3 linked regions of the Oreochromis niloticus genome follow. The protein of the gene in region 2 purifies or fractionates together with the protein of the main gene of each other region. This does not show direct contact. Links are inferred from orthologs where the notes say so. Each region holds a gene or a part of one and is shown on either strand. Other genes may lie near its edges.

What was found.
Region 1: the proteins of sdha (region 2) and suclg2 fractionate together in Homo sapiens (co-fractionation; 3 studies listed by BioGRID, with this or other methods). This does not show direct contact. The link is inferred for Oreochromis niloticus from reciprocal best matches to the Homo sapiens genes SDHA and SUCLG2.
Region 3: the proteins of sdha (region 2) and sdhaf2 purify together in Homo sapiens (co-immunoprecipitation; 3 studies listed by BioGRID and IntAct, counting the BioPlex papers as one, with this or other methods). This does not show direct contact. The link is inferred for Oreochromis niloticus from reciprocal best matches to the Homo sapiens genes SDHA and SDHAF2.

Annotation. Positions count from the first base shown.
Region 1 is NC_031970.2:29,603,240-29,611,325, forward strand, and holds the start of suclg2 (succinate--CoA ligase [GDP-forming] subunit beta, mitochondrial), read right to left. Parts: upstream 3,004-8,086; 5' UTR 2,931-3,003; coding exon 2,847-2,930; intron 1-2,846. UniProt on the Homo sapiens protein: GTP-specific succinyl-CoA synthetase functions in the citric acid cycle (TCA), coupling the hydrolysis of succinyl-CoA to the synthesis of GTP and thus represents the only step of substrate-level phosphorylation in the TCA.
Region 2 is NC_031976.2:12,123,520-12,130,752, forward strand, and holds the start of sdha (succinate dehydrogenase [ubiquinone] flavoprotein subunit, mitochondrial), read right to left. Parts: upstream 3,106-7,233; 5' UTR 3,039-3,105; coding exon 2,976-3,038; intron 799-2,975; coding exon 715-798; intron 573-714; coding exon 411-572; intron 266-410; coding exon 122-265; intron 1-121. Other genes in the region: coiled-coil domain-containing protein 127, read left to right, coding at 3,925-4,054, 4,824-5,068, 5,285-5,731. UniProt on the Homo sapiens protein: Flavoprotein (FP) subunit of succinate dehydrogenase (SDH) that is involved in complex II of the mitochondrial electron transport chain and is responsible for transferring electrons from succinate to ubiquinone (coenzyme Q).
Region 3 is NC_031965.2:19,331,868-19,339,803, forward strand, and holds the start of sdhaf2 (succinate dehydrogenase assembly factor 2, mitochondrial), read right to left. Parts: upstream 3,027-7,936; 5' UTR 2,915-3,026; coding exon 2,888-2,914; intron 119-2,887; coding exon 1-118. Other genes in the region: cleavage and polyadenylation specificity factor subunit 7, read left to right, coding at 3,639-3,728, 4,185-4,388, 4,715-4,818, 4,909-5,054, 5,166-5,502, 5,714-5,817, 7,190-7,334, 7,473-7,799.

The sequences.
Region 1 (8,086 bases), on a different chromosome or scaffold from region 2:
AAATATTCAGGACTGAGTCTCATTGAGACACCTTTCTTCCCAGTGTACCCCTTCAAACCACGCTGGGCTTCAACACAGTTGGGGTATTACCAAGCACGCACGCCATACAAAAAAAAAAACTTAGCAAAGGTTTACAAATTCATCCCTGTGCAGCGACAGTGAAAAACAGCCCGAGGATTATCTCGGTGTGCAGACAAGAATTCAGGAGATTTGATTTATGAGAGAGAGAGAGTGTGAGAGAGAAAAAAAAAATAACAACAACATCTCACTCCTCCTTTAAGGAGTATCTTGGAGCCTAACCATCTGAATATTGCAATGTCCTGTGCATTGTTGTTGACAAATCATTGCAAATTGAATTCCACAGCTTAGTTGACATACTGTCAAAGCTGATTTGATTCTATTGTAGCGATACCTGACTGTCAATCTGTTCAGGCCCTGATACTGTGCTACACACCAGAGAAAATCCCCGATCATTACTCTTATCACCTGGCCCGAACGAGAGAGAGACAGAAGCGAAAGAAGTGAAAGAAGCAGAAGACGAGCAGGTAAAGAGCCAGTAAACATGAGATAAAAACTTTTGTTAGAGTTTACTTTTTAAAGGAACAGTTCAGGCCAGGTCTCTGGCCTCCACTGACATATCTAAATTTTACCTTATGCAGATATGTTGGTTATTGATGCAGGTTCAACAATTTCAGAGATATTTCATATAGTTGTTGCTGTAAGTGCTAAAAAAGAAATACATTTCTTTTTTCACCCCCGGCTAGCAAGATAGCCAGTTGAAAAAACAGAAGTTGGAAAGGCCAGATTTTAAGCACCAAATGACCTTTCAAAATAAGAGTGAAGGAGTTGTCCACTAGCAAACTTAGTCGTTTTCTTAGATGGATAAAAAATAATTTTTTTAAATATATAAATAAAAAACACATATATTTGACATATAATAATAGCAGACTTAGTAATCCTATAGTACAAATTTAAAAAAAAAAAAATTAATGAACTAATGCTAGAGGAAAAAAATATAACAATAGCAGCCTTTACAGGGACTCCCATTCCCTGCTCTAAGGAATGTGTAGGTGGAAAATGAGAAAAAAAATAATGGAAATGTTTCATGCAATTTGTTGCCTTGGTTGGGACATTTTTTTTGATTTAGGTAATAATATTAACCAAAGGTTTTCAATTATGAAAAAACAAAACAAAATTAAATTAAATTAAAAAAAAAAACCAAAAAAAAACAGACATGTGGCTAAATAGAAGGCACCGTGTGAGCAGCAAATTATCAAAGCAGCATCCAATCCAAGATGTTCTGGCAAGGTACGCTGTAGGTTGCCCACATTTTGGAAGGACTCAGAAAATAATGCACAGCTACTGTAGCTATGTGCAGCAGCCACATGGGGGAAAAAAAAAAGGCCTGATGCATAGATATACGTTTATAAAATGTGTAGTAAAATGTGGGCCTCTCTATACTTTTGGAATGGTTGCAGAGAAAGAAGCAACTAGATTAACACATGACATAAAAAAACAAAACAAAACATGTATTTCTGACAATAGTTTGTAATAACTGATAATATTAAAGCTAAAAAGCAATAATAATGAGTCCTGATACTGAGATGTAGCATGTAATTATCTCTAATAGCTTTAGCATTAGGAATTTACCAAGCTAATGTGGACAAATTTGGATAAAAGAAAAAGTTCAATTTACATATTTTCTTTTCGATCTGCATGAAGCACAATTATTTTTCAGTCAATCACCTTTCCTCCAGGTATAATACCTATAAAAAATACTCTACCACACTGCACATAAAATCTGTTTGACTTGTAAAAACAATACGTTTCCATCAATATGAATCCATCTGGGAGTAAATATGAAAGGTAAACACAGCATGAGAAGTCCCATTTGTACTAATGTTCCAAATACCTATGCAGGCACCTCAACCTGAAAGACCAGTTCTCAGATACCGACTGCGCAGAAAAGCATCAAACTGACAGTACAGCATAACATGGTAATTTATTCATCTGTTTGTCCTGGAGCTTTGAAATTTATTATGAAAGCACAGCTCTGTGTGACTGGGTTTGTTTGTTAGTCAATACAGTGCAGGGGGTGTGGGGATTTATGTTTTGTAGCTCTGGCAGCATGTTTAAGACTCTTTGCAATTACCAGACCAAATGCTTTGTTTGCTAAATGAGAAACTGTGCAACTGTAAGCATTTGCCACTGTGTACTTAGACAACTCTAATCAGGCGAATTCTGCTGGCTGCTGTTTCCAGCTCACACACACATGCTGGAAGCTCAAAGTGCAAGGGTTAACCTTTTTTTACTCGGGTCTTATCTGAAATGGAGCCAGGCTGGAGGAATTGTTCACTATGACTTTTACTCATCAGAGGTCACACAGCCCACTGTAGAAGTGCTGAACCTAAGCATGCAAAATAACTTACTGACGAGAAGACCCTTGCAGTTCAATTATACGCAATAAAGAGAAATTAAAAATATCTTAAACGCACAAACTTACAGACTCACAGTTATAGTGACAGGTAGTGTACACGAGTAACATTCACATGCAGAACTGCATTAGAAAAGCTTTCCTCACACAAGCTCTTGCCGATTAACTATCATTTGTAGAGCAGCGCGTATATATAACAGCCTCCATGATTAGACCTACTGCAGGACTTGAAGACGGCATTGTTACGTCACCTGTGAACTGTCAGACTGTTTAACTTTGATCTGTCAAACCTCTGTCCGCTCACACATGCTAACCTGCTAACGCTAACCCTAGCCGTGAGACGCTGACAGCGACGAAGCCACCCCGCCCGAGCAGCAGACCGTAACATCAGCAAGAGAAGCTGTAACGCTACCTTCGCTTTGTCGAGAAGTATGTGCTTTGAAGTAGCTATCCTGAGTCCTTTCGCTACAGCCTGGGATGCCATGGAAGCCGCCATGTTGACACGCAAGTCCAAAGGGAGATGACGCTAGAAGCGCGTGAGCGATCATAGGTCAAGAATCAGAGGTGGGCGGTGCTTCTAAAAGACGCATACACACCGTGGAGTCAGGTGTGCATGTTTAGCAGGCATGGACATTGTTGGCGCTTAGTCTAAACTACAGGGACAGAGGTGAGAACAGAGCAGACTAAAAATCTAACAACGTAGCAGTTTTTATCAGTCTAAAGTCAAATCCTGCCTGCACTGCATACTGATCTATCCCCCTGACATACATTTTAATTCTAAAATTAATTTGTGATAACATCCAGAAAAGGGTAAAGAATAAAACGTTAAAGCTAAAATGTATTAGACTAGTTTTCTACTTTCAGTTCAATTCAGTTTTATTTACATCATCATCATATTTACATCACAACAACAGTTGCTTCAAGGTGCTTTATATTGTAAAGTTAGGACCCAATTATAACACAGAGAAAACCCCAACAATCAGATGACCCTCTATGAGCAAGCACTTGGTGACAGTGGGAAGGAAAAACTCCCTTCTAACAGGAAGACGTGTCCAGCCTGGTATGCATCCTGTCCTTCAATGGACACTGCACAAGATGGGGAACTCTGTTTTGTGCACACTAGATCTTACTGAGGTCTTAATGCTCATCTGAGCATTAGACCAAATACTGTAACTGAGCAGTATGTGGGGTAAAACCAAAAATGGTAAAAGTTGTTGTTATTAGGCTTTAATCATCATTTTCTCCCTTACACGTTACAGAAGTAATAAATGTTAGAGTGTGAGTTTCTGTCCTCAGAATATCTCTTGGAATTTGTGGGTTTTAACCAACTGAAGAGGAGTTTAGATTCTACTATTAAACTCATGTTACACATGCAGGTTTTTTTCATTTTTTTCTAATATAATGAGTTTTGAATCTTAGACTGACTTTTAAGATCTGGTCTAATTTACCACTTTTATTATGATTTAAAATAGTTATGTTACTAATGTGTAACAAACAACCACAACTGAAAACCATTATAAACCATATTATTAAAAACAGCTATACAAGTTAATTTTTCCACTAATGTTAAGAATCAAAGGACATAAGAAAAGGGCACAAACAAACTATACATCTTTACTGCATATGTGTAACTTGGATTTATAATGTGCTGACTTGGATAAGGTAGTGCATACAGTCTTTGTTGTTCTTTTGAGGTTGAGTGCTTGGATTGTTGAGGAGGATGTGTGTGTGTATTAGTTTCAGTCTCATTGCTGGAAATGCATCCATTCATTTTCTTAACTGGGGATCAACACAATTAATGTAACATGCTTGGCTTTGCACTGTGAGAGGAAACCCACACAAGCAGACTGGACATGAATTGCAGGAAGAATTTGTACACGTTCATCTATAAGCACTCATAGACATAATTTGTTTATCTAGTGGGTGGGGAAGGTTGCAGAGTAAGTTTCAAGTTTTTTTTGGCCTTAACAGAAATAATATTATTTGCTGCTTATTAATGTGTCTGCAAACAGCATGTACAAGCAGTACTTGAAAATCAAGGTTAATGAGTTCTGGCAGTATTGCAAAAAAAAAAAAAAAAAAGCTGCTGCTGGTGTAAAATATGATGGATTCATACGCTGTGCACAGATTTTGGTGGGAGGAAATATGTCTTTTATGTTATAATTATTATTTTAATTTGAGAAAACTGACCCTTTATGTTGCCTTTGCAGCTATTAAGCTCTACAAAATAATTTGACAGTAGTGTTGAATTGAATATTTAAATCGCCCATTTTAATCATTCAATTTCCATGTGGTGAGCAAACACTAAAAGGCCCGTCATGGATGTTGAATGCAGGAGCTGCTCCGGCTCCATCCACAGTGTGACCTTGCGAGCAGGACAAACAATCACTGCACTCAGCTGAAAGGTATTGGTAGGGAGTCGAGCGAGAGAGAGCGTGGGATGTGTGAGCTGATCTTGTCTGAATAGCTAAATAGCCCACTCACATAGTTCTCCAGAGCCCTCATTACACGCCGCATCTTGAAAGGGCAGAGAGGGCAAACCGATCATAAAGAGCAGTGATTATGACAGGAGGAGAGAGAGAGAGAGGGAGAGTTGGATGAGATACTCACTTAGAAACCATCAGTGTCAGCAGGCTAGAGAGGACATGACAGAGGGGAGGAGATGATGATGAACAGCTACAACCAAAGGATCTTTTTTTTTTTTTTTCTGGAGACCTTTAATGGTCAATATGTAAGATGAAATGATAAACCCCTGAAAAACTTTGAAAGAAGAAAAATTTGCAAACGTGAGCCACTTTAATGTCAACGGGGAGAGAATTTGCCTCATGTTTATTTGATTTTTTTTTTTTGCTCTTAACCTCCCCCAGCTTGTGGGTGAGAGCTTTCTGGAAGTCAGTGATCCATATTTCACACACTGAAAATATTCTGTGGTTGCTGGCTTTTTTAAAAAAAAAAAAAAACCTTAGCACAGTAAGTGCACAAATGAAGTGAAAATTGCTGCACCAGCATAATATCTGGGTGTGTCAACAAATCCTACCGAATGTATAAAAAGTCCACCCAGTGTCTTTGTGTCAGTGAAGAGTGGCATGTGTAACTTCAGTATTAAAAAAAACAAAATCACTGAGAGTGGGAGCCAAGCAGAATGACTAAAAGATGATTCGCTTGAGCATTTTAAAGCATTTTGTTTCTTTTTTTCGCTCTCTCTCACCAGGGACATTTTCTTCTCTCCAAGGAACTGATATTCCGACAGGACTGTCAGAATATCAATGGCCCTAACTAATACAATTCAACTTTTTTTTTTTCATTTCAGATGTTGTCCTGTCGCTCAGAACAAAAACTGTGTTTTTGTCTGCACTCGGAGCAATCATGTCATTTTAATCCCAGAATACAAAGCAGCTATTGTTGCTTTGTATTCTTTTCAAAACTACCTAAACTTTCTAACACAAATTGAATTTGTCTTCAATGGGCAGTTCACAAAGTTCAACGATATCTTCATATATGAATACACAACCAGAAGTACGTGCTGATTTTTAAGTCGGTGATACTTTTTACTTGCACTAGAAGAGAAGGGTATTTGCTGTTTGTGCCTCCTTTCTTTGACTAAAACAAAAGTTAATAAAAAAAAAAACATTTTAATCACACATAAAATTCTTAAAATGTTTCACTAGGATTCAGGTGAATCGTGAGGTAGGATGTGTGTTGCACTGTTACCTCACAGCAAGAAGGTCTGGGGCCCTTCGGTGTGGAGCTTGCATGTTCTCCCCCGTGTCTGTGTGGGTTCTCTCTGAGTACTCTAGCTTTCTCCCACAGTCCAAAGACATGCAATTAGTGGCTTTAGGATAACTAGTCACTCTAAATTAACACTAGGTATTAGCCCTGTGAAAGATTAGCCCACCGTGTACCTCATCTTTTTCCCTTCCACTTACTCTGATTTGGATAAATGGAAGAAAATGGCTGAATGTTTTATAGCACAAAACACTCTGACTAAAGCAGCTTGTGTTCATTTCAGATACATAACATATGTGATCTTATCTTATCTTTCTTTTCCCCCCCCTCCCTTTTTATTCTCCCCGGAGCAACATGAGTAAGTGTGCAGGCAGGGCAACTAATTTGTGGTTTCACTCAATTATCCATTGTCAGTTTCCACTCAATAAGTTGAAAGCCATGAAAATACCAGGGATGAAGACTCACAGTTCCCAACAGGCTGTGCGGTTAGCCCATATGCTTCAGTCACCAAAATAGCAGAGGGGTGGTTGGCTAACAACCTGCAGTGATCAGGCGAGGAGCTGACACACTGAGCATGCCCAGAGTCTGGACCACACTGTCAATCTCTGCTCCTCTGCCATCTTTTTCTTTTTAATTCGTGTCTCAGGTGCCTCTCTCTCTTTCTCTGTTTGCACTGACCGTGCTACTTTGAGTCCTTTCTTGCCCTTTGTTGTTCTTCCAGTGTCTCCTTGTTTCGGCTTTCTCTGCCCCCTCCTCTCTGTGTGTCGCTGCTTTTCTCTGACCTGTCTGTTAACCACACTTCCCGCATGTGAGCTCAAAAGAGAATTCTCCACAGTGATTCTGACTACAGGACCCTCTTCAAACGTCAATGAGGCCATGACAGCAACACTTTGCCCCTCTCATTAACGTGACTGGTTGGACAGCATAGCAGATCACACAGAAGAGAAAGATGAAACTAAAAGCATCCAGAAGGTTTGCTTGGCTGTCTGTCAGTGTCACGCTGACATAGAACCTGGACACTTCAATGACCCTTTATTTTTTGGACTGAATGCAGATCAGTGTGTTCATTTTATTCAGTCTCCATTCACACAAAGTAGAAATGGACAAGCACCAACTTACTAAGTGTGACCTCGCTGAATAAATGTATATATGTATGCAGTGAGGCCAAAAGTCCAGGCGGTGCATTTAAGAGTAAGGGTGTATCTATGCATACAAGTTCCAAAAGTAGGCTTGTAACAGAGCGGTGATCTCAGTAAAAACTAGTGTTTTAAAGGCTGTTTTATACTATGTTTATGTATAGAATCATGTGGCTTTGACTAGCCAGAGGAGAGTTTTGTTTTCTACCCGACAGAATGCCAAAGTAGTGAGAGAAATGGGGAATTAATGCACTTAACTGCTGAGTCAACAAGCAAGGAATCTTGTAGCTTAGCCAAACAGACAGAAAGCAGACTGCCTGACAGGGAAATTAAAATAGGCAAGGAAGATGCTACGGAGAGCTGAGAATGACAGAGATCGGACAAGAGAGAAAGTGAAAGGGTGGGATTGGGTCATTGCCACCCTGTGCTCAGCACATCTTTTGATATGACAGACGGCAAACATAATTACTCATCATTTTCTGTGCTAACCCTTAGAGTTCACAATGTCACGGCAATGCATATGCATGAGTCCAAGACCTTCCTTTTATCCTCATTTCTCCCAGAGAGTTTGGAAAGATTATGACACAGCAAACATATTTTACTCCGGAAGAAAAGCGGGGTAGACTTTTCCCCAGGGTCGACTGACATACCTCAGCATTACCCTCCATAACTTTCACTTTTCTACCGTAAAATCCATAACAGCCCAAGAACATAAGACTGCCAAAGCTTGGCTTGTGTCTGCTCTGAATGTCAGTGCTGGAGAGGGAATCAATACAGCAACAGGAGCTGC
Region 2 (7,233 bases):
GGTATTCTTAAAGATCGCATGGTTTACACACTCATTTACGTCTTGTGTTTAAGGCCTAGTATTTGCCAGTTAACATAATGACTCATTATGCATGTTAGTGTGTTTTTAAGAGAGATCTTACCTCCACTACGGCTGCAGGAGCCTGCTCTGTCATGTAGTGGATAGCGTCCTGGTCTCCAAGCCAATCAGATCCCTTTACTGTGTCATAGAAATGCCACCTCCAGTCATCCTCCTCCATGTTCCCCAGAGCCGCATTAATCCCACCCTATTAGCCAGGGTAATATTAAACATTATGTGTGTTTACTTGATGGCCTTAAGATTAGTAAAACATTTGCAATGAGTTTGCTAATTACATGGAGACTTTGGTTCTAACTGACATACAAAATCATTTACTGTAACCACTGATTTACCTGTGCAGCGACAGTATGAGACCTGGTGGGGAACAGTTTGGTGACGCAGGCAGTGTTGAAGCCCGCCTCAGACAGGCCAAAAGCTGCCCTCAGTCCTGCTCCACCAGCTCCAACCACCACAGCATCAAACTCATGATCCACAACTGGGTATTGAGTGGAGATCTGAAACCAGTTGAAAAGACAATGTAGTGCAAACACGTTTGAAGCAATGAGAGTGTACTCTACGTATGTGGAGTTCTGGTTTGATGATTCATATCATATACATACTGTTCTGCATTAAAAAAAAAAACTTAATGTGGCTTACATCATCTGATACTTTGGCATTTTTCTTCTTGCCATAGATGGAAAAGTGAAAGTTCCTGGAACCTTGAACCGCAGCGGCAGGGACCTGGCAGAAGAAAAAGCAACTTAAATAAAACTAAAACTAAACCCAAACAAAAAACACACTGAAAAACCAGAATCTGCTAATAAACACAACAAAATGATTATTCAATGAAGTGAAGTTTTAAAGCTTCAGTCCTAACAGCACCTCCACAACCCATAATTCATATCATTAATATTTACAGCCATTCATCACTGAAAATGTTACCAGCATTTACACAGCCAATCTTGTCAGATGCATATGTATTTTAAACCTTCTGTAGTTCACCACTGACTTGAATCTAAAAGTATACAAACCTGCCAGTAGGAGGAACTAAAGCATCACTTTAACAGACACAACAATATTGTGCCCCATGTGCTTTATTGGGAACACTTAAACTTTCCTGACAAAATGTGAAGTAATTAACATAATTTTTGTGAGATATCCTTATTCACACATGATGAATAAACCATTTACACTAAGTGACTGAATTTCCCAAAAATCACTTTAGTGTAAACAACTTACACTAAGCTAAGAGACCATTAATCTTCATTGCCCATGACACAATGTATTTAAGACTATTCACATTTTTTATGCTTTAAATCTATAACAACTTATTCTTCACAGCACAGTGAAGAAGAGGTTTCCAATCCCACTGATGCAAATACAGACTCTCCATGTTGGAAAGGAGCTCATTATAGATTATAGAGAGGAGGGTCTTAAACACTAAAATGATAATATCATATAAATCACAGGTGATGATTTATTATCTAAATTATCATCTAGCATCTCTCAGATCAATTGACTGTCTGCTTGGCCAACAGATAACAGAGGAGGCCACTGAGACTATCCAATGGTCATCTTGAAGTGTGCTCATATACCGAGCATGATCCCCTGAGAAACTGTACTGTGGGTAAGTATAAGACTTGCTGCAAATTCAGAGTAAATAATACTACGCCTGGATAATCTCTGTTATTTCTGTCATTTTTGGATGTACTGGGGAATGCAGGTGATTTACAGGGTTTCTATCAGTAGAATCAAGTAGAAAGTATACAAATAAATGGCTGCAATAAATACAGATATCGCCTTCTTACATTAACCGAGTTGATTATCACTGTATTTTTAAATTTGCCAGAATAGGCTCCCCGTGAAAAAAAAAAAATGAATGGCATATGTTGGTGTAAAATAGTACAATATCTGAATTTAGAGGGTTACAAAAAAGAAGAAAAAAAAGACAATGACTCCTGGTGAACAATATATAATCTTTTTCTCTTTTTTTCTGTTTGGTGGCTTCCCTACCTGTGGGGCATCAACAATCAGATGTTTACAAGCAGCAGAAGGCAGCAGAAATGACTAACAGATTCATTTAATTTATGTGTAATTTATATTAATTTAACATTAGAAATAAAAAAAAGTACACATTAATGTTAAGCTGAACCTATAAGTTTAACGATCTGCATGAGAAGTGACAGGGAGGTTATAGTCTGATCACCTGTCAGTGGCTCCTGCCTTTGGAAAATGATCTGCTAAAATACAAGCAGCATACCAACCGAAAACATCTGCTATACCTGTGCCACGACATCAGCAGTGATTTATAATCGGGGGAAAAACTCCAGCACAAAACTTTCTGTTAACAGCCTTACAGCACCATGTTTAATAATGGCTGTGAAGGCATTTTCCAAAACAACCCATAGCAAAAAAAAAAAGCATTAATACGCACGACCATTTTTCACAGCGACCTTTGCTCTTGGCGGTTATTTTTCATAATGTCTGATGTCATTTTACATCTTCGTCGGTCTAAACCTGTCATATATCTGCAAATTGTCCCATTTTACTTTTGTAGCTAACAATAGCGGCTACTTACTGAGAACTGTTTTACACAAGGGCAGCGGCATTTACGACTTTCATGGTGACGGAACGTCTGGTTAGGCGGACAGTTCAGTCGCCATTAGAAACAATGTGTAATGTGAAGATAATAGAAGTGTAATAGATATAATATAAATATTTTGTTGGACCTGCAAAATAGCTTTTCTCATAGAGTCACATTGAAACAGCACCAGCTACATAACAGATTACGCAAGGCAGAATCCGCAGGTTATGAAAGCTTCGTTTTAGAAACAAAAAAGGGAAAATAAAATATTATCTTTTACAATATACTACATATTTAACTATTTAACTTTTAAAAGCATGTTTTTACTACTCACTGCTTTCGCAGTAGATAAAACCCTCTTGGAGAGGAGACGGGACGCCGCGCGGACACTCGCCATGTTGTCAGACGAAGGATCGTTCCTGCAGCGCTGCGGAGGAACACATATTTTGCCGGACTGGACTAAACCAATGTCCTAAAAGAGGGGTCGCTCATTTATTTAATATTTATATGATAGTTATTATTTAAAGCATTCAGCCATGTGTTTTAAGGGTAATTATTAAATTATTAGCTTGAAACCATCTGAGTAAATATACAGGGTTTTTTACTGCAACACTTACAGGAACTTTTTGTAAGCACTTTTTAAAATCACCCTCTGCCGGCTAAGATGGAACGTTAAAGCGTTAAAATTGTATAATCTGCGTGTGCAGGAACAAATGCATAAGTGACCTACACTTTTCATTCAAGGTGAGACACAGCTCCATACATTTAACAGGCGTACGCTGACACGTTGTCGGGATTGCAAAACTACGAAGCCCCTTCGTTCTGTTGTTTTTTTAAAATAAACACAATGACGAGCCACGGCGCCAAATGTTGGCTAGCATGTAGCACATAGCTAGCTTTGTTTGTGGTTAGCTGAGCTGTCAAACTTCCGAATCATGTGAGGCTGTTTTCGCCCTGTATGCCCGGTGCATTGTTTGGATTCATGCTAAAAAGCGATTTGTTAACGCACTTTCACATCCAGTGCTTATTCTAAACACTGTTTTGCAGGTTACACACCCTAGCAGATACATTGGCGTTTATTCACTGCTTTTTATTCAGCGAGTGGCAAATGATGCGATAGTTAATGCAGAGTAAATAATAGACGTGTCAAAGAAAAAAACACCACTGAGAATATATGCAACTCACAAATAAAAATTTAAAAAAGAGTCAATTGTTGGTGATGCTTTGGGCTGATCTCTCTTTGTGTTTGTTTGTGTGTGTGTGTGTGTGTAACAGCGGCCTCCATGAACAACTTGAATGATCCCCCAAGATGGAACATCCAACCAGATCCCAGAGGAAGGGGGGCGGGCGCAGGCGATGGCAACCAGTGGAACTACGCCCTGCTGGTCCCCATGCTGGGACTGGCTGCATTTCGTAAGTTACGCAAGGAGGTTTGCCGGTGTGACTGTGGATGAGACAACAGAGTAGAACAGCATATCAATTTCAAGAGTGGAAGGGAAGTCTTACAATATAGTATTGATGAATGTCATGACAGAGGAGGACGCTAAGGAGCAGAGATGGAGGCAAATGATCTGCTTTTTTGATCTGCTGTGGTGATCCTTAAAGGGAGCAGGCAAAGGAATATTATGATCAGTGAGTCCCCTGGCTTACAGACACACACAGTATACTGTAACTATTCACTGGCACAGTCTCTTTTGTCATTAGAATGCCAAACGGCATTTAATGATTAACACAGAAGTGGGGAAAAAAGTAGACTGAACTGCAGCTCAGTAAAAATTATTGCACTGAAAGGAGACTTTTTGACCATAGCAGGGTATTACCATTCCAGGTTAAGCACAGTAGAGGTTTCTTGCACAACTTTACCTACTTTAAAACAGGGGGGAAACACCTGCAACAGTTGTAATATACAGAACAACTTTTTGTTTTGTTGTTGTTGGTTTTTTTTATTGACAAGATGCACACAACTGCTTGTGTACTTGCCCAGCGTGCATCTGTTCTGATCTGTGTGTGATTGTATGATAGATCATCTCTGTTACTTAGATGAAGTCATTGCTGTGATTTTATAAAATTTGCAGTTCATAAGTAGCTCCAGCTACTCTACTCTTCAGAAAATCATGGCAGTATCACTTAACATCTTCCCCATTTTTTTTTTTTTTTTTTTTTTATCCCATTGCCCTTTCAGGATGGATCTGGACCAGAGAATCTCAGAGGGAGATCCAGAAGGTGAAAGCTCAGTATGACAAAGATGTGTCTACAATAAAAAGTGAGATGGAGGCCCGTTACCGGGAGACACTTACCGAGAGGCGCAGGGCAGCAGCTACGCTGGAGCTGGAGCTGGAGAAAGAGAGACAGCGGGTCAAAGGCTACAAGCAGGCCTTGGTCTCACAGAGCCAGCAGCTTATGGAAGAAAGGAAGCAGTTACAGCAGGTAAAGATCTGCTGAAGGGTTTATAAGGGATAACAGAGCTAATGAGTAGAAATCTATCTCAAGCCTTTGTTTTCTTCCATCTCAGTTACCTGCTACACATCTGTCTTTTGTTGTCCTCCTTTTACATTGAACATTGCACCCATTTTATCATTGTGTCATTTTCTTTTGTAATGCATAGCCTTTACTCACTAACCTTGAATTCTATCTTCTAACAAGGAGCGAGAGTCCTTAGAGGAAGAGAAGCAAAAGTTGGTGAAATCTGGAGCTGCAGGTGCTCTGCTGCATCAAGCTCTGGAAAAAGAGCAGAACTGGTACAACCGAGCCACAGTCACTCTGAAGGAGCTGGAGGGTTTACTTGTGGAGCGGCAGAACGCCTACTGCTCCCTCATCCAGCCTCGAGATCAGCGGCTGGAGATGGAGAAGAACATGCTGCTTAAGGTCGTTAAAGATCCCATTGGGGCAGACCTGGATCTAGAGACTGACCTGAAGGATATTTTTAAGAGAGACAAGCATTGTGCCGACCTGCTAAACATGGACAGGAGGAAGAACGGAAGCCTCATGTGGGTGTACCTCAAGTATTGGCAGCTGCAGATCACCGTCCAGAAACACAAAAGAGCCGAGGAAGCCATATTAGGAGGGAAAATCCACTCAGACACAAAGTGACAAATAGGCAACAATAAGCCGGTGTTTTGGTTTGACTTGAAGAATGTGGCGAGGGTGTGATTTAGAAATGGAAAATTCTTGTTTTTTATCCCCTCTGTGTAATAATCTTTACTTTGTAGGGATGTTATGCAAACACACAGGAGGTCAACGAGGTCTAACAAGGTGAGTCGCAACATCTGAAAACTCCATCCTTGATCACATTTTGATGTTGCACTAATATCGCTTATAGCAGTTCACCTCAGCTGCTCAGATAAGGATTTATTTCATTTAACTGAAGAAAAACAGAAATATTAGAAATATTATTCAGATGGTATCCATATTGGATACAAAAATGCATGGTTTATTAAATATAAAATGATACTTTACAATTTAGCCCCTTTAAAAATGTTGATTTAACGTCCATATTTTTTAATGCCATGAATTATTGTCAGTTAAGATTATATCTCGGAAGAAGAATTTTTTTTATTCGTTAGATAGGAATTCAGGGATGCCATAACACTCTATTAAATCTATTGTTATGTTTTTTGTGGATAATTTAAGTCTGTTGTTGAAGGAGTAATGTGGGAGATATTTATAAAGATAACTCTGGGACTTTCTGTTTTCAACAACCTCTCTGTTCATTGAGTTTCCTCCATTTAAATTCCGATCTCATGATCGAGCACAGCTCGTAGAACAGGGAGGATGTTTCTGATGACTGGTTTGTGGGTACCTCACTACTGTCAGGGACGCTGGACTTAACCGAAGTTGCATGTATGCATAAGTGCTAAATAGTGTAATGTGTTGCAAAAACAAAAAGTAAAATCAAGAAAAGCACATTTAATTTCTTACTGTAACACACATACACACATGCAATGAAAGGATTTACTAAATCCGTAGCATTTTTCTTTGGTTATCAGGCCTCTCTGTGCTGCCATGTTTTCATTTTGACCTTGAGGATTAAGTGCTGGATGCTAAACTGACACTTATAACTCTGTGTGATCATTTGAATAAATTTGTTTTTGTTTAGAACTCAGTTTGCAGGTTGTCCTTTTTTTCCATAGAGACTGATTTTTTGGGGGGGAGGGGCTTCAAGGAGCGGCTTCATCTGGATTTAGATACAGGAAAGATATACTTTAATCCGTTGGCTATGTGGCGGCTCATACTGCATGATTAAAAAGGTGCATGCATGAGGAATATGTAAAAACAACTGACACAAGAATATTGATTGAGGTTTGTGAAATAAGCTTCCAGAAAGTGTTTAATTAAGCTTTACAAACCATAGAAACCACCAACTGTGACAAAATTGCATTTTCCTCCTGGGACAAATTTATAGTTCACATCAGGCTCGATTCTACAGCACCCAGAGCTTTTATGCAAATTATAGCACATCTTTTTTTTTTTTAGAATTATTTAGTTGCTGAAGATATGACACTACTACAAATATCAGTAAAGCATGTGAGATAACATCCTCGAGCATAAAAATAGTACTTCTAAAATAGTCAATTTTAGAAGAATATTTGATT
Region 3 (7,936 bases), on a different chromosome or scaffold from region 2:
AAGGGATCTCAATCAGGTCAACCTTGGTGTCTTCGGGAGAGTCCCCGCGGTAACCACGAGACGACACCAGCCCTGTGATTGCTGGTCTCCAAGCAGCCTGGCACATCCCGGTTACCAGCTGATGGGACAAGCACACATTAAAAGACAGGTAAAATAATCCACTGTGGCTTCTGAAAATGCTGAGTCAGTACATCAGATTATTGTAGTTACTAACAAATATTGTCTTTGGGCAAGATTGTGGTAGCAATTATTATCTAAAAGCTAATACAGGCATTAGATCTACATGTTAAACTGCCAGTACAGCTTTAGTAAGTTCAAGTTGCATGAGGAACAATTTAGAGACTGTGTTCAGCTGTTTGTATTTTTCAGCTGACGTTGCGTCACTGATAATTGTGAGTGATGCTGAGACTAAATATTCTTAAGTATTTTATGTTCAGGTATCAGCATCCAACTTTATTTACCATTTTCTCATTTTATGATCTAGATCTGTTTAATTTAAATTGGCTTTCAGTCTTCCAATTTAAGTGTTATTGTTTCAAATATTTCATTATTCATTTTATTTATATTTTTACATAGTAGTGTTAGGCATTATAATACAAACACAATATCCTTCATTTACTCACAGGTAGACACATCACAATAAACATGTTCCATGCTTCCTTGTGCTTTTTGACAAATACGAACAAAATGACTAAAAAAAAGATCATCCCACATTTCTTTATCTATTGCTAGTTTAGTGGGAAAGGTGTGCAGTTATTTATGAAAATATGTGGAAATATACATTAAAATACAGGATATAAAAAAATAGAACTAGTACAGTTCTAACAAACCTGGAGGTCAAAACTTGGTAGGACCACCTATATTCATTAGCAGAGCCTGCAGTGTTGAAGAATGACTGATGGTGTTTGTTAGGTCTAATTGTTGAATGTTGCCATTGTGTTTCTTAAATTTGTACAGTCTTAGTTCAAGCAGTATTATCAAAGCTATTCCTTTGATCCTGAGCACCTCTAACCACTTTGTGTTGGGGGAGGTTTTATAGCAGATACATCCTATCTGGAAGATCTACTTCCTTTGATGTAAGCTTCCTGCGTTTACGACCCTTTGGTCAGCAGGAGGACACACACACACACACACACCTGCATGCATATACATACAGTGCCTTGTCTTTGTAACCAAAGGGGGTTGCGAGGGGAGGTGTTTTGTAAACTATTGTTTGAAGTTTGTCAATAAAAGCCAGCGAGAGGAGGCCCTCATCGGGGTCACTTCCATGCTGGACATAGACGAGGCCTCCCTTGCGCAAGTAATCGATCGATCGCTGACTGTCTTGTTTTCATTCATGATGAATAAGTCTCTAGAATTAGCGGGGTTTGTGGGAACAGACCCAACAGTGTTCAGTGAGTATGTGTGTGTGTTTGTTTTAATCAGCTATGCTTATACTGCACTGACAATGTGTTTGGGTTCATTGTCATGATGAAAAATTAAGCTGCCGTCAATCAGACACTTTCCAGATGTTCAATCTTTAAAAAGTTTTTGAGTTTTTAAGGCACTTTATGAGGGGGGGTTGTCCTGGGGGTTATTCAATCCAACTAACTATTCATCAAAGCCTGAAAAATACACAATCAAAATTACGTGGGGAATCACAGTCTGACAGTTCTTTTCTGCTTTCATAATTCCATCAGTTTTGACAAGATCTCCAACACCACTGGCTGAAATGCAGCCCCAGACATGGCATAAGACCTGTTGCCGCCGATCTTCAGTTCAGTCCTTGTGTAACTTGGCAAACTTCAGCCTTTTCTCACGTTTTCCCTTCTTTAACGATGGCTTCTTGACAGCCACCCTTCCACATTCCTGATGAGGCTTCAGTGAATAGTAAATGTGTCAACTGAAGGACCGGATGCATCTCCTGAATCGGGTCTTTGCTGGATTTTTTTCCTGCTTTTCTTAAGGACAGAACTTTCAGACACTGTTCACCTGTTGCGTTTTTTTTTGTTTTGTTTTTTTTTTACCTTTTAGAATTTGCTCAAATTTTGTTTTTAAGGATACACTTGATATCACACTGAGATATGTTAAGTTTTCAGCTAAAAGCTCTCTAGAAATCAACTTGTCATTAGAAAAATACAATTTTATGCCTGTCAAACTGTACTTTCATCAGTTTAACTGAAGAAATAGGACCAAATTATGCGTTTTTGCGTCGGGCTCCTTGATTTAGGTGTATATTTTATGCTTGAATGAATGGTAAGTAAGTATTAAGCGGCTTAGGAAAACAGGTAAAAAGACTGGAGTGAAAATGAGTGGGGTGGGGAATGTTTAAAAAAAAAAAAATGGAAAGACTTCCAAAAAGCTTGGAGAACTATTCCTGACGTCTTCTGACTCTATGGAAGCAAATTATAAAGAAGTGAGGGTTGGTTCAAGGCTTTTTGCACAGTATAGTATATACCAATGCAAATCATATAATATAAAACGTTTCTTTCTCCCCAGTTTCAGTTTTCGCTTTTAGTTATTTATAATAATATTATAATAATAACTATGATGGCTTGGAATCCTAAACATTTGCTGCTAAACTAAAAGACAGAAAGCAGAGGGGAATTGCATAATCTGAGACTCTCGATGCACTGTTGTACAACTGCCCTCCAAGAGGACAACCTCTCTGCATCAGAGCTACATCAACCCTGACAATAATAATGCTACACCATCAGGAAACACTGAACAGTTTGTTTAATACTATTAAGTCTGTTACTGCGTCCTATTATTGAACATTAAACGTACTAGACAGATTTATTAACGCTAAAAATGTTTAGAATTGAACGGCGAGCTCTGACGTTACGACGGCCACGGATTCAGATTTCAAGCAACAAACACACAAATTATTAATTACTCGCTAGCTCACCCTTTTCGCGACAATAGAAGACAACATTTTAACCCAACTTCTTCTAAGGTCCACAAATTTGACGAAGCTCCGTCTCCCCCGTCGAAATGTTTCTGCTGTCTGACAGAAATTACACAAGTACGGTCACAGGAAACTACCGGAGGGAGGGCTGTACACAGCCCACACGTGTCTGTGTTTAACTGCGGGAAAACGCAGCTGGCGTCACAGGTGGACCTTTAGAGGTTATATAGTTAATCTGTGTATTATTATTTTTTTCTTACTCAAAGACAAATGCATTAGCTAAATACATGCTTGACCCTATACCAAAAAGTAAACCAATTTGACTACAGGAACAAAAAGTCGATTGTTGTTTTCAGCCGGTGAATATGTCAGCTGCACCAATTGCCAGAGTAGCAACATTAGCTTTAGCTGAGCAGAAAACGAATGAGAAGTAAACTGGTCGCGCGTGCTAATGTGTATGAAATACCTTGTATGTTTTTGAAAGTTTTCATCAAAATTCAGTTTTCTTATAATTTATTTCCGCAGACTGTATTTTCGGTTTGTCACACTCAGTTTTAGCCACAGTATGCTTATTTTAACAAGTCCAGCGGAACAATAACGTTAGCTAACAAAATAAGGAAAAGAGAAATTTTTGAATTCTAAAAGTGCATCTTTTGTGTTAACTTCTAAGGTGTGCATGTGCGAGCTGCACTTAAAACAAATAATAATTACTAGCTGGATTGCAAGTAATTAATTATCTTCGGCCCACGGGATGGCTGCTGCAGGACCACAACCTGCAACTGGACCAAGCATCGATAACAAGGATATAGATCTATATAGTGACCTGAATCAAAACGATGAGGTGAGTCTGACATTAAAATCAATGCAAAAAAAAAGTCAGTGTATGAAACGATCGCACATAATGTTTAATGAAACTTAAGATGCAGTAGGCACAGAATAAGCAATCAGTCAAAATAAAACTGGGGTACTTATCTTAATAGAAGGAAGGTGCCACATCCTTTAATTTTTTTTAATTTTACGTTATCTAATACTGGAATATATGTTAGCAAGTTTTTGAGCTACTTAACACTCACCTATGACATGAAAAAATACTTAACTAAAAGGATGAAACTTAAAGAACCGATTTGGAATAGTTTCTTTGGGCTTTAGTTGTATATTTTAGTATATTTCTTTAGTTAAATATTTTTTAAAAGACAAAATTAACAGAGTTTGTGTGTTGAAAAGTAAAGGTGGTCATATGCAGCATTGACAAGACTTTTGCCCAGTACTGTAATTATTCTTTTTCTATACTTCACAGGATTTGGATAGAATTGCAGAAGCAAATGAACTTTTTGATGCCGTGCTAACCGGTTCTGTTAATCAAGACAAGAATGTAGCTACCAAGGAGTCCTTACGTAAGGAGACATCAGCTAAAGAAGAGGATAAATCAACAGCAGCAAATACCCCAAAAGGAGCAAACTATCTAAGGAGACTTTCTGTATATGTTGGGCATTTCCCATGGGTGAGTTGAGTTTTGCATTACCAATACATTTTCATCCATTATAGAAACACTGTTAATACCAAAACATTACTGGAAAAATAAATAATAATCTGATTTTAGGTTCTTTATATAATGCCAAGACAGATAGCACACTATACCATGCTTGCCATTTGTTTACACAGTTGGCATTACTTTAGTATGTTATCAGTTTTTGTGACGATATTAAATATTCCAGTACAGCAAATGGCTACATAGATACAGTAGATGATCTGTTATACCTATAAAGCTGAATGACTTTCCCCCTACCAGTTTTTTTTTCTTTTTTACAAACCTTCTCATCCTTGCAGTGGGTAACTGACAAGGACCTAATATCTATGGCCAAAGGGTTGGGTGTGAAGAACATCACAGACATCAAGTTTGCTGAGGACAGAAGTAATGGTGTGTCAAGAGGGTGAGTATTGTGTAAAATATAGAGAAACCTTTACAAAATAAAGCATTTTTGTATTTTCTTTTAAATTTTATCTCCTACTCTGTGATGCAGCTTTGCAGAAGTGGTGATAACGTCAGACGAGTCACTAAAACTAATGTTGGAAAAAGCACCACAGTGTAAAATCAACGGGGAAAGGATAGACTGTCGCTATGCCACTTGTCAGAACCTTGCTTTTTTTGAAGAAGAAGCAAACAAACGTAAGGGGAAGACGACTCTGAAAACCCCCCACTGATATTTAGTTTGTATTACTAAATGTCAGGATAACTATCATTTTTCATGGAGATGTATTTTGTTTTTGGTTTTTTCAGGTGTACCCTTGCGAGCTAACAAAGAAACCAAGGAATCTGAGTCGTCAGATGAGATTCTCTCAGTATTATTAGCACAGAAGACCACCCCGTCTGCTATACCGCCACTTTTTCCATCACATCCACTTGCCAACAGCTTTCCTCCATTACCCGGCCCTTCTTTTGGTCATCCACCTCCCCTGTTTCCACATATGCCACAAACAATCGCTCCGCTCATGGCAACCCCGCTGTTCCCTCCTCATCCAGTCCCTGTCCCAAGCCACCCGCCTCTTGGTATGCATCCCACATACTTCAGCCCAGCACAGGATGGGCACAGCAGCAAAGCTTACAGCCAACAAAAGTGAGAACACATTATTTAATTTTTATAGCCACTGACACACTAAAGGCATTTACAGAGAGATGAGATTAAACCTCCAGTGGAAAGTGAACCAATGAGCAGGATACAGAGAGGCATAAATGAGAATAGAGATTACTTATGACTAGAAGTTACAAAAAAGAAAAGAAAACATTAAAACAATAGTTACTTTTACTAATAACTGTATATTTTACAGAAACACACCTAAAAGTTCCGATCGAGATTTGGAGGAGCTTATGAATAGAAACAGAACCATTGCCAGCAGTGCCATCACAAAAGCTGTGAGTGGTGCAACAGCTGGTAAGTATACATTCATATGGGATACAGTTTTTTATGCTTATTATCTATGATTAACAGACAGTTGGAGAAACACTCAAAATGTAAAGTTGTTCAACACAACTTGCACTTGAATTAAGAAGCACACACATATCATAGTATATTTTTGTCTTAGATATAATTTGAATACATTTTTTTACTAGTGATAAAAAACTAAATACTATGTTGTGTACATAAGTCATTACAGACTTTATTCATTATTTGAAAGGCTCTGAAAATGCTGTTTTAATGCTAATCAGTCTGATCTCTGCAACAAAAAGTACTGTGTATGTTAAAGCATTGAGCCACCCATCATTGTGTGCGGTTTGTTTTGTTTTTTTGTTGTTGGTTTTTTTTTTACAATGTTATCCTTCTAGTGCATTAAAAATTGAAGCCTTTACCTGTTGGATGCTTTCCAGATGGTATTGCATGGTGGATCAAAATCTGATGATACTCATAATTCCATCAGCACTGATTAAAATCCCGACACCTCTGGCAGAAATGAAGCCCCAAATCATGATGGAGCCTCCACCATGTTTTACAGATGGCTGTAGACACTGTGTTCTAGTTCTTTGGTAGATTATTCCTATTTCTTAAGGACATGACTTTTTATAGATAGTTTTTTTTTGGGGGGGGGCTGCCAGTTATTTTTTTTTTTGTTCTCCACTTGTTCAGTTTATTGAAAATACTGCAGTTGCAAAAATTACAAGAAAGACTGGCTCCTTTGAAGAAAAATACAAAGAATAACGAGCGACTCAAGAATTTAGCATATTTGTGGCAAAATAAGAAGAAAATTAAATTAAAAATCTGGAAATAATCATCTTTATTATCAGGACTGTTTGGTTGTGGTTTAATCAGATTTGATTGTCAGTGCTCTTACAACACAACGGGTGTCTTCGGGGCCTTTAGGTTTTTGGTTATGGTTTTTCTAGCTTTGCACACTTTTAATTTCTACTTTCTTCATACATTTTGTTACTTCCTCTAGGTGTATCAGAGTGAAATAAGAGCCTTTCTTAGTTCTAACAATTTCTACTGGAGTTTAAGATGAAGCTTCGGCTGGCACATTTAACAACATGCAGAGATTTATCCCAAAGCCCTCTCAGCCTTGTGTTGGCTGCGTGCTCTGGGTCTCTGTATACACATAGGTGAATCATCACCTCAGGCCAGGTTTTATGTCTTCTCACTCAACAAGCCTCCCTGCTGCTTCTGTTCCGAGATACTTTCCTATCTTTAATGTATTTTGTAGTAACTGTCGCCCATTTTCAAAAACTTTTTATTAAACCTAACCCTAGGAACTTTAAAGTGCTTCGTTACTAAAAAACAAATGCTTCTAATATCTCCTAAATTTCTACATCAGGAGACCTGCAGGTGGCCATGGAAACGCTATTAACTGCCATTGCCATCATTAAGCAGTCCAGAGTGTATGGAGATGAGCGATGCCAGACGCTGGTCACGTCACTCAAGGATTGTCTAGTCTCTATCCAGGGCAACTATGGCTACAGGTTTGTATAACTGCCTATCAAAACGCTATCGTTGTTGTCCGTATATGAACGTATATATACGCATGTATATGAACTAATACTGAGGTTGGACCTAGCATTAGATTTCTTACTTTGTTACAAAACCATATTTCCTTTCAGTGAACAAAGTCGCTCTGGAGAAAGAGACCGGGACAGAAGTCGGGACAGAGAGCGAGAGCGGGACAGAGACAGGGAATGGAGCCGTGACCGAGACCGTGAAAGAGACCTGAAACGGAGTCGAGAGCGTAATAGAGACCGGGAACGGAGTCGTGGCAGAGAGCGTGATAGAGACTGGGACAGGAGTCGTGACAGAGAGCGTGATAGGGACTATTCTTCTGTTTGTGAAGGTGCAGGAATGTCTCGAAGACACCTGGAGCGTTCCTGGAGTGGAGAAAGGGAAAAGGCGTATTCACGGGAACGGGAAAGACACAGAGATCACAGAGACAGGTACCACTAATTAGGTAAGTTTTTCACTAATATTAATTTGTACACTACAATTATATTTTACCATCAGTCGGTTTCACGTTTTTGGAATATCTACTATTTTTCCAGTAAACATTTTGACTTTTGATGGAAGGAAAGCC